Linked DNA regions of Caenorhabditis elegans. The protein of the gene in region 1 binds, or shares a complex with, the protein of each later gene. Each region holds a gene or a part of one and is shown in the gene's direction. Other genes may lie near its edges.

Region 1 (6,294 bases):
TTGTCTAGTGAGCCATTCTTCCGTTCCCTAATCAAGGCATCCATCAAGTTCTCAATCAGTGAGTTTTCCGAATTGTTTTCAATTTCTCAATTTTATTATTTTCAGCGAAACAGCTTTGCAAAGAGCAAATTCAAATTCCCAGTGAACTTGGTCGATCTATGCTCGGAGTAGTTGATGAAACTGGACGTTTACAATACGGACAAATCTTCGTTCAATACACGAAAAATTACAAGAAAAAACTTCCACCGCGAGATTCCAACAATAAAGTTCATGGAAGTGAGATTGTCACAGGAACCGTTTTGCTCACTAAAAACCCTTGTATTGTCCCCGGAGATGTTCGGATTTTCGAGGCTGTCGATATTCCAGAACTTCATCACATGTGTGATGTAGTAGTATTCCCACAACATGGACCGAGGCCTCATCCTGATGAAATGGCTGGATCCGATTTGGATGGAGATGAATATTCTGTTATTTGGGATCAGGAATTACTTCTTGAAAGAAATGAAGAACCTTTCGATTTTGCTGTTGAAAAGATTAAAGTACCATATGATAGAGAGAAGCTTGTTAGTTTTTTTTTGTTCATTTTTTTTTTAAACTTTGGTGTAATATCAAATTTAGGACGTCTTGATGCGTGAGTTTTATGTCACATATCTGAAATTAGACTCCGTTGGACAAATCTCGAACAGTCATCTTCACAATTCTGACCAATATGGGCTGAATTCGAGAGTTTGTATGGATTTGGCAAAGAAGAATTGCCAAGCTGTTGATTTCACAAAGTCTGGACAACCACCAGATCCATTGGAAACGAAATGGAGGGCCGGTACGTATGCGTATTCATGAATATGGTGTAACTACCTATTTTCAGATCCCGTAACATTCGAAGTTATCCCTCCTGAAAATCCTGAGCGAATTCCTGACTTTCATATGGGAAATGAACGAAGTCCGATGTATGTCAGTCCAAGGCTTTGTGGAAAACTATTCCGAGAGTTTCAAGCAATTGACAATGTTATCAAGATCTCTGAAGAAAGGGATGAACAATATAATATTGAACTGGATGAGACTATCTTTGTTACTGGTTTTGAGAGATATATGGAAAGTGCTCAAAAACAATTATCCAGTTACAACGGACAACTCAGGGTTAGTTTGAAGGCTGAGTAAAGTTTAAATACCCAAATTTTACAGTCTATTATGGAAAACTACGGTATCCGGTCGGAAGGTGAAATCATGTCAGGATGCATTGTCGAAATGAGAAATCGAATTTCGGATAAAGACCAAGATGATATGTCATTCTACAACACTAATCAAATGATTGAAACAAAAATGACATCTTTAGTGTGCAAATTCAGAGAAACGTTCTTCGAGGTACAGTTTATTTCAATATTTATTTATTTTTTAATTTCTATGCCATTATCAGGAATTTGGTGGATTCACAGTAAAATGTACACTTTTACCAAATGCTTACGATAACGGCAACTGTCTCAATTACCGTTGCGAAGATCCAGATCAGGAGGTCAGAAAGAAAGCTGTTGCCTGGTATCGAGCTTGTTACGGTAATTCAATTTTTTTGTTTCAATTTTTTGAACTATTGTAATTTCTTTGTAGAGTGTGCTCAATCCACGAGAGAAGTTCGGAAGCTTTCATTTGCTTGGATTGCATATGACGTCATTGCCAAAGTCAAGGAGACTAATGTATTGAATAACGAAAGAATGCAGATTGGTGGAGCAAATCCCATGTACACTTTCCTAGAAGAGCATCGAAAACAATATTTGATTGATCACGATGCGGATTTCAAGAACTTCTGTGAACTCGATCATCTAATTACCGGTGAAAAATCAAAAGAAGCGATTTCCATTCTGAAAATATATCTGGAGATGATACCAGGGTTGGACTCTGTGTTCTTCATGTTAATGCGATGGGGAGAATCATTACGATTGTTTGATGGAAAACCAATCAAGATTTATCACTTTTTCCTCATGTTCATTCTTTTTGCAACACGACAATTGGCATCTGCTGATGGAAATGCAGAACCGTTTTTCAAAATAATTGAAAAAGAAGAATATGAGAAACAGAAAAGAGATTCATCGAGAGGCAATATCGATCCACTTACTGAAAAAAAAAGATCAGATATGGTAAGGAATAAGGGGGTCATCGAACATCGTCGATTTTTCGATTTCTTCGAAAAAGTATGAAAAAAGAAGAGAAACCTTTGAATTTTGTCTATAAACATCTATATTTTGATAACAAAAATAAAAAATTCATTGAAATATATAGAGAAATTATAGGAAATTGTAGAAAAGTTGAAATTTTACCGAATATAAAACAAAAAAAACTTGAATTTTCGATTCATCAAAGTTGACATAAGTCCATTCAGCTGTATGATTTGTAGTCCAACATTGGCGAGAAATTCAAAGCCGAATTGTGTATTTTTTTCAGATGGTCAAATTCTTCCAATTTATGGGATGTCGGAAGTTCAGAAAAATGTCGACTTTATCCTTTTGTCCTCTCAACTTCTCATCGATTTTTATGCGTGGAGAATGGCGAATATTCCATGAATCAGCTCTCAAAACCTACTACAATATTCTGTTTAATCTACGTTTTGAAGAGCTTCCAGTATCATCTGATCCAACAATTACAGCTGAGACGATGGATCGAGAGTGTGAACCATTTGTTATCGAGTTACCCGGTATGTAAAATCTTTTGGAAATAAAAAAAATTGAGTTTTTTTTCATTTAGAAAATATAAATGTGAATGATCTGATCAATAATATGAAGAAACACACAAATGTTTCAACTGTAAAGATGCGGCGACAGGAGAAAAATCCGATAAACGATAAGGCGAAACCAAAGACTACAGGTAATTAAAAACTCTTCATATTGGTAGCATAAAATAATTGTTTTCAGTTCGTTACATCGTCTCCGTCTCCGGAACTCTCGAATCAATTCAAATGCTCAAAAAGCTTTCAGCAGTTACAATTCCAATCAAAAGTCATTGGGAAGGAGAAGAAGTATCACAACAGATGGCATCTCTTTGCTATCAAAAAGTTATGAATGGTGAATTTTAATCTCGTATTTTTGTTGAAATATGCCATAGACTCTGTTAATGTTTTTTCTTCACTTACATTTTCAAACCTTGTACTATTTTTTCTGTTTTATTTATTTTTAATTCCTTCTACCATTTGTATTTGTGTGTAAACTGACCAATTCCATCATCAAATGATTGATTAATAATTTTAAAATATTTTCTCCGTGGTATAAAACATTTATTTATTTTAGATTTTCGTTTCGTAATCGATATTCCCAATGTTATTTCGTTATCCAATATCTGCTAAATGAGGGTTGATAAAATCCAAATTCAAATAACCTCGGGTTTCAGTTAAACAACACGCGCTACGACACTCCGTTCTCTTTTCGAATTTTGTTCGCTGAAGAGTGTGTCTGTTTCTTCGTTCTTTCTTTTAAAATGGTCTTCGATCCAAGAACATTGGATAATCCTAAGGAAATTAGTGCTTACAGAGATCAAAGATACCAGGTAAGCCTTTTGTTTTAACAACTTTTCGGGTTTTTATCGAATAAAAGGTGTTGTTGCACAATACGAATTCAAATTTGTAGTTCTCAATTTCAGGGAACCGTTCGAGACCAGGAGACTGCTCTACGCACATCATGTACACTTTATGTTGGAAATTTATCATATTACACTAAAGAAGACCAAGTCTATGAGCTGTTTGGAAGAGCCGGTGACGTCAGAAGAGTGATCATGGGATTGGATAGATTCAAGAAAACTCCTTGCGGATTCTGCTTTGTCGAGTGAGTTTTTTCCGCGATTTTCATTGCTTCTCTGGACTTTTAACCCGAACAAATAAAATTTAATTAATTTTTATTTTTATTTATTGATTTCCAGATACTACACAAGAGAAGACGCTGAGCTGGCTCTTCAGAACATCTCAAACACTCGTATGGATGATCGTGTAATTCGTGCTGATTGGGATGCTGGATTCATTGAAGGACGTCAATATGGAAGAGGAAAACACGGTGGACAAGTTCGTGATGAGTATCGAAAGGATTATGATCCAGAAAGAGGAGGCTACAATCGCGCTATTGCTCAAAAAGGTTAGCAGAATAAAAAAAAATGGAAAAATCGTTTTAAGTTGTTTCAAATTGGTTTTTTTATTCGTGTGACTATTAAGAAAAATGAATCTTCTACATTTTTCAGGCGGTGACCGTCAATAATCGTTTCCAAATCCATCCAACACGATCCTCAATCATCATTCTTCAAACAAAAAAAATCACAAAATCTGAAAATTATTACCGTATATTCTCTATTAGTGCTGCATCTCCAGTAGTACTGCAGTCTCTAATAGTGCTGCACTCAAAAAGGGTCCGAAAATTAGTGCTGCAGTCTCTATTAGTGCTGCACCCCATTTTCTACTGAAAGAGTCACTCAATACATAGTTTTGACATTCTGGGGAGTGTTTTGTATATTTTTGAAGATTTCTAGTTAACTTACAAACATAATTGAGTTATTAGGTCATTTTTGTTACAAAATTTCACAATTTTAATGGATTTCTGCTTAAAAGGTGAGCATTTGTGACTAAAAACTAGTGATCTCCAATTGAAAATAGCCGTTCGAAAATTAGTGCTGCAGCCTCCAGTAATACTGCAGTCTCTAATAGTGCTGCACTCAAAAAGGGCCTGGAAATTAGTGCTGCATGCAGCACTAATAGAGAATATACGGTATCTCTGTTTCCATCTTGTTTTAACGTTTTATTTATTTTTCTGTTTGTGTTTTCTTCTCCAAACTTGAGATAAAGCCATCTTCCTCCATCGATTTTTTACAGATGTTTAAAAATAATTATTGAGGCAGGTGAAAATTTCCCAACACAATATCATTCTTTCTAACCGCATTTTTCCAGTTTTTCTTATTTATTTACATATAGATGACCTCAATTCTTCGAAAAGTGGAATGGGTTCGAGTAGCAGGGAAATGGACGAAAATGTCCGTCATGGGGTTGGATATTTCAGACGAAACGCTGAAAATTCAGAAGAAAAAGGAGAACGAGAATCGAGTGATTATTTTAATGATTCCAGGTAAATCGGGAAATTGCGCTTTTAAAAATTTAAGAAAATTTTAATTTCAGGAAATCCCGGAAACGAAGGATTCTACGCTCATTTCGGACGAGAAGTTTTGCAAAATTTGATAAAGAAAGATGAAGATGAGCAGAAAAACTTGAAAAATCAATATTTATTCTACACAGTTTCAAGTCTCAATCATGTTCGAATGCCAGATCATTTGAAAGATGATGGAGAACATCGAAATCATGGTAATAAATACAAATAAAACGAAGAACCGTTCACTCCAGCCTTTTAACTTATTTAGTTTCGCCGATTTCGCAGTATTTTTCGCCCTTTTGTTTTTTTTTCAAATACCTAACGAGACTCATGGATCCGGTGCGGAGCGCGTTTTTACGTCGATTATAATATATTTCCAGACCGAATTTCTCTGGAGGAACAAGTCAATCACAAACTATCATTTGTGAAAGAGCACCTGCCACGTGGAAAGCAACTGTACATTTTGGGGCATAGCATTGGTTCGTATATGATGTTAAGAATCATTCCTGAAGTGATAAAAGAAGGATTCCACGTGGAAAAAGCTGTTGGACTGTTTCCAACGATAGTTCATATGGCAAACTCACCAAATGGGAAACGATTACATGGAACTTTAGCTGTAAATTCAATTTCTTTATTTTAATTTTTAATTGTAAACTTTCAGACATTGAACCATCATGATTGGCTCACAAAAACGATTTGCTGGTGGGTGGATTACCTGCCAAACTCGATCAAAAAATTTCTTGTTGGATTGAACCTGAGACATCCTAATGTAAATTTTTTTTTGAATGTCAAGCAACAAAAAACATAATTTTTCAGACTCCCCCAGAGATCGTCGATGCGGCAGTTGAGCTTGTCCATATGGATGTGTTCAGAAATATAGTTCACATGTCAAACGATGAACTTGATATCGTTTTAGACCTAGATGAGCGTCTTTTGGAAAAACAAGACGTGGTTCATTTCTATTATGGCCTCAAGGATGGATGGTGTCCAGTGCAGCATGGTATTGACCTTGAAAACGTTGTGTAGATTGAAAATAAAATTTATAGGATACTCCATGCGGGACAGACTTGGTGAGGAGCAGGTCACATTGGACGAAGACAATTGTGAACACGCTTTTGTTATTTCTGAAGGAGACATTATGGCGAGAAATGTTATAAAATATTTCGATTGATCAGTTGCTCCGAGTTTT
Region 2 (9,138 bases), 1.2 Mb from region 1:
TCCTATTTCTTCACAACTCAACTACAAATCTCACTTTTTTTCGGAAACCGTGATTTGTTCATGTTCTTCTCTAACTCAGGCTACAGCATTTTATCAGAATTTTCTGATTTTCTTATCATTCACTTTTTTCAGTTATTCAATAGAACCTCTAAGTCTCTACAACTGCATAGATAGCATAATCAACTCTATGTATTTTTTTATCAATTTCCGAATAATTTTAAACTTCACGAGTCTCGTGTTGCGATGATGGTTAAAGGGCGAAAAAAGAGGAAATTGGGAAATTTTATGGTTAGTGCATAGTTAATAAACGGAATCGTGTGATACTTGGAAAAATGACGAATGATACGAAATTATGTAGTTTAATTGTTGAAAAAAGTAGCGTAGTGGTTGACGGGGTGAAGATTTCATAAAAGGGATCCAATTAAATATTTTACCATTTGGAAAAATTTAACGTTCTCTTTTCGGCTTCTCGTGAGGTATAAACTTTACTTAATGGATGTTATATTTGTAATTGAACCTACTTAAACTCGTATGAAATTAGTGAAAAATGCTCCAGTTTCTGCTCATATTGGCTCAGGGTTTTAGAATAGACTAATTGATAAAGATTTTTTGTAAAAACTCGATATTACTTTTTATTTTTTTAAAACGTCACAAAATTCTATCCGAAATAGAGACACTTCAGACAAAACTTCCAAAAAAAAATTTCAAGTCCAATATACTTTCAAAAATGCCAATTGTAGATAAATTCAAGAATATTCCAATTAACAAAATCTTTGAGATATGCCGCTCCCATATATTGAGGCTTTTTTTGGCAGATGATAATCTATTCAAGTTCCCAAGAGGTTAAATTTTCTGTGAATGGTGATCGAGGAAAAAAGGTGGAAATGAGTCAGAACTCAAACAAATGGTTCAATTGAAATGGGAATGAGGAAGATTTTATTGTTTTCGTTTATATCTAACATTATTATATTCTTTGTAGTTTATTAAACAGGTCAATGAGAACAATAAAACAATAGAGAAGTAACGTATTGGAAATTTCAAAGAACAAAAGCATTTAAAAATGTTTATTTTCACAAAATATCAATTTTAGGAATCACGAACTTTTCAGTCCAAATGTTGCTTCTCAATTTCTCATGGAGTAGATAAAAAAGTAACGTTTTTTTGAAGAAGTTAGGCCCAATGTTGGCAAAACGCACTAAAATTTCAAGATTTTGGGTACAGAAATGAGAAACATCACTTTTTCAACCCTCTTTTGTACACTGTATATGGTTGCTTCGCCGATTGATTTCAAGGAGCCGCATTCGTTTAAAAAGGTCTCGCCACGCGCGCTGCATGTATGAACAAAGATTTCTGCACGCGCCCTTTGAAGTTACTGTAGGAAATTTTGATCGATTTTTTCAACTTTTTTTTGCAAAACATTTAATACTATAGTCACTTGTGTTGTAGAAGACAATTACTCATATGTCTACAGTAATCTTACAGACTCGCACACAAAATAACTGTTTTATGAAGGGAGCGCGGTGAGACCCAAGGGACAATTAAATCAAATAATATCATTGCTGAACTCTTCAGACTCACTCTTGATCATCATCATCAATTGCATCTTGTCTTCGAAGTATTGCTCTATTTCGTTTTTCTGCATCTCCACGAGCACTGAAACTTCTTGTCAGATTTCCACGTGTCACTGAAGTGGATGGACTTTGACTTGGTCGAATTATCACTGAACGGACACGTTTGAAGACTCCTTGACGGTGGAAAAACTCTGGAAACTCGGATAATTTTCTATAAAATATTCAAACTGTAAATGTTCTCACCTGAACTCATTCTTAAATATATCTATCTCAGTTTCAGTAAAATCTAGAAGTATCTGTTCGTATAGTCCGCCAGACAATCGACCATGTCACGGCTGGCGTCTTTTGTTTTTCTTTGAAATTTTCAGAATCATTTTTTCTATTGCTCTGCTTCTTTGTGTTCATATTCGTGTATATGTCGTCTGTGTGTGTGTGAATTTTTATTTACAGTCATTATTTTTGTGAATGGGAACAAAGTGGAGAACGGGGTGAAAAATGGAGAGGGAAGAAGTGGGTGAAGAGACAATTTACAGACAAAAGTTCTTTTGAAAAAGAGTCGAAAAATTACATGTAAATTGGGAAAGAACGTGTAAAAGTAGATAATTGATACATTATTTGCTCGTGCGGCTGACGACCCAATCCTTTTGACACAGTGGGCATCTGTTGTTCTGTCGAATCCACTGAGTCATGCAACAATGATGGAATGAATGATTACAGTCTCCCCACACTACGTAGCATTCAGCACTTGGTTCAGATTGACAACGAAGACACTCTTCTGAAAAAAGTTGTTCATAATTATTGGATTAAATCTCATTCTGGTAGTGTGGATCTCCTGCTCCCTATGCATATTTTTAAAAAATGTTGATTTTAAATATATATTTGCAAGCTAAAAAAAAAGGACAATATATTTCAATTTCGACATAGTTGTATATTACCTATTCTGTTCACGAAAATTTGCGTGTTTTTTACTTTCAAAGCAAGCACTTTTGCTTGTTCCTGAACTTTTAAATACAAATATATCTTTCAAAAGAATACTTTTTGAACATATCACTAAAAAAATTTAGCTGCATATGAGCACTTCGAACTAGTAAAAAGTCGATCTGAACTTTTTCAGTGCATTTTTCCACTTTTTTCAAGACCTCTAGAAATGCTCCAAAATATTTTTTTTCGTAAGTTTGTAATGATATTTAGGGGTAGAGAAATATTATGGAAGATTTCTGTAGAATTGTGTTTTTTTAGAGAAAAAACTGAAAATTTTTTTAAACCAAAAACCATCATAAAATTATCTGCGACATTTTTATCTCACAAAATATCAAAAAAATAAGTTTTGTTATATTTTTGAAGCGATTCAACTTTTTAACCACTGAATTAAATAAAATTTACCCATTAAATGTACTCTGCAGATTGCACATGTGTCACATTCAACATCCCAGGCCCAAACAGCTAACGCATTCCATTTTTTGAGCACAAAAGGACGACTTTCAGACGGATTCGCGGTTTTTTGCTTTCTGAAAGTAATTTATATTTCGAGAATTTAATTGAAATGGAAATAATTGACTTACTGAGCACTCGTACTTCCTTCTTGTGAATCTGCATTGCTTGAATTGTTCATTTTTTTTGCAATAATTTATTGATTTATTGAAATTATTGGCAATTTAAGACCGGTTTTGTTTTTTGCTGCATAAACAGAAGTGGCGTTGAGAAGAAGAGGCGCAGAGATGTCAGACAGTAACCTACGACACTGCGCTGTTCCACACGCGCGCCTTGTTTAGAATATATTCAATTTCGAATTTTCCATCGGATTTTTTTGCGATTTCTCAAGCAAAACCAGTGAGATTTAATCAGATTTTGTTCGAAAAACAACGAAAATGTCGCGGAGAAGGCAATTCGATGGTAAGCTACTTCCTGCATTGTTTAAATCTTGTTTAAAAAAATTAAATGATTTTCAGATGAGGATGAAGTTCAAATGAAAAGACGTCGCGGGGCTCCACTAATCGAAGATGTAGAAAAAAAACTGCAGGGAGTCATCGGAAAAGTTGGAGAGGTAAGACATAAAACATCAATTTCCAACCAAAATATGTTGTTATAGAATACTGGCTCATCGATCGAATGCAATTTGGATAAACTCACAGCTTTTTTACATGATGATCTCGAAAAATATCGGGCTTCAATTATTGATATTATTGCTGGATGTGCCATCTATCTCCCAAATCGTGTTACTGTATACACAACTCTAGTTGGTCTGTTGAATTCAAAGAATTTCAATTTCGGAGGAGACGTCGTAGAAAAATTAATTTCTGAGCAGCAAGATCTTCTTTCAAAACAAAAATATCAAGAGGCTCAAAATCTTGCTATTTTCCTTTGTGATCTTGGAAATTCTGGAGTGCTCACAGCTCAATCAATTGGAGAATATTTGGAGAGCTTCATTGCAGCTGCTTTTGAGGAAAACATGCCTCAAGTTCGTAATGATTATTATATCCAAACAGTTCTTCGTTGTCTTCCATGGATTGGTAAAGAATTGACTGAAAAAGCTCCCGAGCAAATGGAGAATATTGGAGAAGCGATTGGAAAGTATCTCGAGTTGAGAAATAAAAATCACGTTGCGGTAAGATTAATATTAAACTTGTTAATAACTAAAAATAATATATTTTTAGCTTCTCCAAGTTTGGCGGGAAGGCTCGACAGATCAAAAACAAGAAGATTATCTCGAAAGTTTATCAGCTCAGATTGAAGCTCTTCGTAATGCGGATTGGGTTGAAAATCACATTCCTCGACATTATTCTGGTTTTGAAACCACCCTTCAAGATGCCCTCCAACATAATTTGCCAAGTTTTCAATCTCCAGAACATACCTCGGATATGATTTATCCATATCCACTGGTCGTTTTCCGTCTGTTTCAAGACGCGGATTGTTCCGCCTTTTCTGTAAGTGCAAATTGAAACTGTCTAAACTGTTCGTTCATTTGTCTTTTTAAGCAAGGAAATATCTTTTTTATTTACTGAAAATTATTTCAAAGGGTCTATTATAATTTTCAGAGTAAACCCCTTCCCGGTGATAGTTCAATAGATCGTTTCCTCTTCGAAGGTGAAATCGCTTGGATCATTGAAAAAAATCAATTTAATAGAAAAGCATGTGCTCGTGAACTTCTCGCTTTCGCAGAAGAGAATCCATCTGTTCCTATTGGATTCCTTATTTTCGAAACTATTTTCGGTCAAATGCTCCGTCTACCACATGCCCCATATCCAGCAATATTTCATTGTAAGTCAACATTCTTCATTAAAAGTCCATTAAACCTCGATTTAGCGGGGGTTTAATGTAGAATCCAAATAACTAAATTATATTTTCTTTCAGGCTCTCTCGTTCTCGAACTGCTAAAGCTTAAACCAGACGACTATCCACAGATTCTTGTTCAAACTGTTGAGTGTATCTATCGGCGCGCAGATTCAATGCAACCAGTTTGTATTGACAGGTAAATTATATTTCAAATTTCATATTTCAATTTTATTTTACAGAATGGTTGATTGGTTCAGTTTCCATCTTTCTAATTTCCAATATCGATACACCTGGACAGATTGGAAGGATTGTTTGAATGTATGTTTTTATTTTCTATTGTTCATAACATTGCACGGTAATATTTGCAGAAAGATGCATTTTCCGGCAGTCAAATCTTTGTACGAGAAGTCATAGAAAAGTGTCGTCGTTTTGGATCTTATGAGAAAATTATCGCTGCATTGCCCCAAGATTTTGTCAAGATTCATCCATGCTCTCCAGAAGTTCGATATCTCATTGATGAAGGTAAATAACTACTTTTTGGAAAAATCAAAACTTGTAATTTCAGAAGACACTGCACTAGTTCAACGAGCGGAAACATTCACTCAAATGTTCCAAGAACGTCAGCCAGCTGAAGCATTCCTCAATGAGCTTAAATCAAATGATGAAAATGACGAATTGCCATATAACATTAATGAATTCGGTCTTTTCGTAATGGTTATGCTCAAAATGGCATCGAAGACTTATTCACACAACTTCTCAGCTCTATTCAGGTTAGTTATTTAGATAATACGAATTGATAGTTATAATATTGTGTATACTCAAAAATTGTTAACTGCACACTTTTTTAAAAATTAATTTTGTATCGTCTTTATTTAATTATTTGTTGATATTTTCGAAACGAAGAGAGTTATAACCTTTCAAAGTAGTGGGGGTGCAATATTATTAGAGAAAATACAGTACTACAGTAGTAATTCGTTGTTGCGAATTTTCAAGTTTTTTTCAAATTTTTTGATCTCGATAATTTTCGATTACCGTCCCTGTTTCGAATGTAATCCTAAAAATCAACAAAGTTTTTATTCATTTCAGATACCAAACCACTCTGAAAACTGTCTGTGACGCATCAGAACTTTATCAAGAGAAGCTACTGGAAACACTTTATTCGTGCTGGAAAACGAATCAACAGATGTTGATGATCCTTACTGATAAGCTTCTTAAAATGCAAGTAATCGATTGTTCAGCCGTTGTTGGTTGGCTATTCGACGAGAAAATGTGGCAAGAACATGACAGGTACACTTTCACATACTCCAAAACTTTCTCTAACCGAAAATATTCAGACAATGGTTGTTCGAAGTGCTCAATCAAGCATTGGAAAAGCTCACACGACAGATTAATGTTGTCGAAAAAGACATAAAAGAGCTGACTGAGAAAACAGAGAATAAGATCAAAGAGGAGGATGATGAAGAGTCTGATATTAAGGTATTTATTTAGAGAGAATTATATAATAAGATCCCTTTTTTATAGATGGATGAAGATGAAACCAAAGAAGAAAAATTCAAACAAGATCTCGAAGATTTGGAGAACAATAAAGAGAAATTAGAAAGAATGGTCACTTTCCAAAAGGGTCTTTTCAATGATTTCTTAATAGTAAGTTGCTTCAAGATGTATTATCTCTAGTAAATATTTCAATTTTAGGCATTCATTGAAGAAATAAAAAACGCGGCCACGTCCAACACATCCGAGATGGATGGTTCTGGGGATACACCAGGAACTCAAACACCTAAATTCATGTGGCTCCGTGGAAGATTCTGTCACGTTTTGCTAGCTGTAAGTTTTATACTCGTTTCGAGTCGGCTAGAACAATCTTAAAAATGTGAAACATTAAAGAATGGTCTCCGTTTTTGATATATTTTTATATGAAATATTTTTCAGCACGCGGAAACACTGTTGAAGCACTCGAGTAACATCGCTGATGAAGTTTTCTCTGAAGGAACCGATCCTAGCATTATTGAATGCTTCAACCAATTCCAGTCTCTTCGTCTTTAAATGAGTCATATACTTTAATCTTGTCCAATTTCAAATTTCCTGTTATTTTTCTCAACCAATCTCTTCAAAATCTCTACGATCCCAGTCCGGGTTCATCATAAATATGGACTTTAAGTCCCCGGAACCATGTTTATTTTATCAATATTAAACTCCCAATCTCCGTTTGTTTCTTGTTGTGTTTCATTACATGTTTTACCAGGTCATTTATTTATTCTATTTAATAAAATTAATCGATCCGTTCAAACACTATCCACACCTTTTTCCATTCGACACGCCATGATAGAACACATAAGAATCGAAAAAAGTAACAAAAAGTTTGCACATAAAGATATTAATAAAAGAATTGGAATATGAAAGGCGGGGGATGATAGATCATGAGGAATTGAGAGAATTAGAGAATTCGTAGAGTTTTTCGAAATTTTTGGGACAGGTTTTGAAGATAAAGAAGAACGAAGACGTCGAAGAGAATAGCATCCTGAAAAATATTATGAATCCACGTATTACATAGTGGTTTTTTTTTGAATTGAAATGTAGACGCATTCATGACGTTAGGTCCTGGCACGAACGAAACTATTCAGCTACCGTATCCTACCATATTTCGAAAATTGTTATCGTCTATCTCTAAATTTTCAATATTTTTTGTTGAAAAGTTGCATTTATTTACGAAATTATCAAAACCATGTCAACTATAAAGAGAAATTTGAAAAAAATAAAGGATTACTGTAGCTGAACGATTTCTCTCGTGCCAGTTTTTTGGGTCGAAATTCGAAAATTTCAATTAAAAAAATGAGGTTGGACATAAAATAAAAGATTCTCACCGGAATTCTTCTCTAATTCTCTATAAACTTCCATTTGTTCCAACATCCAGTCATATTGCTCCTTACAGTAACCCAGTCCGCTTTTTAACATTCTCATCTCACTATATTGATTTACAAATGACTTTAGATTATTGGTTCTCAAAAAAGTTTTTTTAGGATTCAATCCTAATTTGGTTATGTTACCGATTTGCTAGGTGCATTGACCAATAGTATGGAGTACATGGCTCGCGGAGCCAAACGGGAAGAGTCATTGTTGAGTGGAGAAGTTGACGAAGGAGACGGAAGTTTTCACGAGAGATGAGTAAAAATGAGGCTGGGAATTCCTGTGAAAACGAGAATTAATCAGAAAAATCGCATGAATTCAACCTCACAAAGGCTAGGGAACCCCGTAAATAAGAGATGTGCATTTTCATGATTAATATTTTTGGATATTATTTGAGCTATAAACCCCCGAGCAAAACAAACCGTCAATGGATTTCCTTCAATTCTTAGTTGTGACAGACCACTCAACATAGCCATCACTTCGGGAGGCATAGAAGAACTTCTATGTAACATATTATTTGCCACATTCAAACGTGCCAAATGACAGTTTGCAGTAACTGCTTGAGGTATTTTTGTAAGATTACACGAGTCCATATCAAGATAACGAAGAGATTTCAATGGAACAAATGAATAGGGAGATATCGATTGAATTGGCATTCGGGAAAGTGAAAGAGTTTTCAGAGCATTCAAACCATAGAAATGATCAGGTGTTAGCGTCTGAAAATGTTTTTTTGTGGGGATATTCTCGGAAAACTTACAGTAATATTGGTTCTGCTTAACTTGAGCCATTTCAATTTTATATTCTTTGCAAATGGCTTGTAAGGGAGCATTTTAATTGGATTCCCTGTCAGATCAAGTACACGGAGATCAATGCATTTACTGAAAGTGTGAGATGCAAATGATGTTATCTGGAAACTTTTTTGACTTTTCTCCTCTTGAGGCGTTGCGGGGCGCATCTCACTCGCCTTCCTAGCGCCTTATTGGAGTGTGCAATTTTCATTTCTTTATTTTCAAAAGCGTTTTCCGGAAGAGGAGGCGAGGGAAACGTCATTGTGGAATGTCTAATTGAAATAAGCTGACCTGGTTATAACTGAGATCCACGTGAATCAAAAACGGAGAAACGAAAAGAAGTCGATGAAGGTTTTCAATCAAGTTGTGAGATAATTTCAAACTTTTCACGGCTGGAAGTTGAGCAACTGGAGTTAGAGATGAGATTGAGGTTCCTAAACGTTTGTATTTTTTTCGCAATCTGACAAGCAAATGTTGAGCAGCTCTCCAAATTTTTCAATTGAAAATAAACAAAGTTTCAGCTCGAGCATATATTATTATGTTCTTCAGAATATGTACAGAATATCCTTGCATGCAGATATTCTGTACAGTCCGATATTTTA

The links. Proteins that work in one complex are often made in the same cells at the same time.
Region 2: ncbp-2 (region 1) and ncbp-1 share a complex: the UniProt entries of both Caenorhabditis elegans proteins name them as parts of the nuclear cap-binding complex.

What each region holds. Positions count from the first base shown.
Region 1 is NC_003279.8:7,640,407-7,646,700, reverse strand, and holds ncbp-2 (Nuclear cap-binding protein subunit 2), read left to right. Parts: upstream 1-3,372; 5' UTR 3,373-3,459; coding exon 3,460-3,528; intron 3,529-3,621; coding exon 3,622-3,803; intron 3,804-3,897; coding exon 3,898-4,106; intron 4,107-4,209; coding exon 4,210-4,226; 3' UTR 4,227-4,244; downstream 4,245-6,294. Other genes in the region: rrf-1 (RNA-directed RNA polymerase), read left to right, coding at 1-58, 106-563, 619-820, 866-1,137, 1,183-1,362, 1,415-1,550, 1,603-2,129, 2,434-2,683 and 2 more; F26A3.1 (Lipid droplet-associated hydrolase), read left to right, coding at 4,934-5,084, 5,135-5,317, 5,486-5,721, 5,767-5,874, 5,922-6,105, 6,152-6,276. UniProt on the Caenorhabditis elegans protein: Component of the cap-binding complex (CBC), which binds co-transcriptionally to the 5' cap of pre-mRNAs and is involved in various processes such as pre-mRNA splicing and RNA-mediated gene silencing (RNAi).
Region 2 is NC_003279.8:6,418,667-6,427,804, forward strand, and holds ncbp-1 (Nuclear cap-binding protein subunit 1), read left to right. Parts: upstream 1-3,391; 5' UTR 3,392-3,439; coding exon 3,440-3,464; intron 3,465-3,520; coding exon 3,521-3,615; intron 3,616-3,660; coding exon 3,661-4,176; intron 4,177-4,225; coding exon 4,226-4,495; intron 4,496-4,606; coding exon 4,607-4,829; intron 4,830-4,922; coding exon 4,923-5,040; intron 5,041-5,083; coding exon 5,084-5,162; intron 5,163-5,212; coding exon 5,213-5,366; intron 5,367-5,409; coding exon 5,410-5,614; intron 5,615-5,930; coding exon 5,931-6,131; intron 6,132-6,178; coding exon 6,179-6,320; intron 6,321-6,365; coding exon 6,366-6,488; intron 6,489-6,536; coding exon 6,537-6,668; intron 6,669-6,773; coding exon 6,774-6,887; 3' UTR 6,888-7,126; downstream 7,127-9,138. Other genes in the region: R10A10.1 (uncharacterized protein), read left to right, coding at 1-174; rbx-2 (RING-box protein 2), read right to left, coding at 2,183-2,346, 2,955-3,079, 3,134-3,183; lron-6 (eLRR (extracellular Leucine-Rich Repeat) ONly), read right to left, coding at 7,127-7,362, 7,706-7,842, 7,889-8,028, 8,171-8,464, 8,506-8,655, 8,828-8,970. UniProt on the Caenorhabditis elegans protein: Component of the cap-binding complex (CBC), which binds cotranscriptionally to the 5'-cap of pre-mRNAs and is involved in various processes such as pre-mRNA splicing and RNA-mediated gene silencing (RNAi).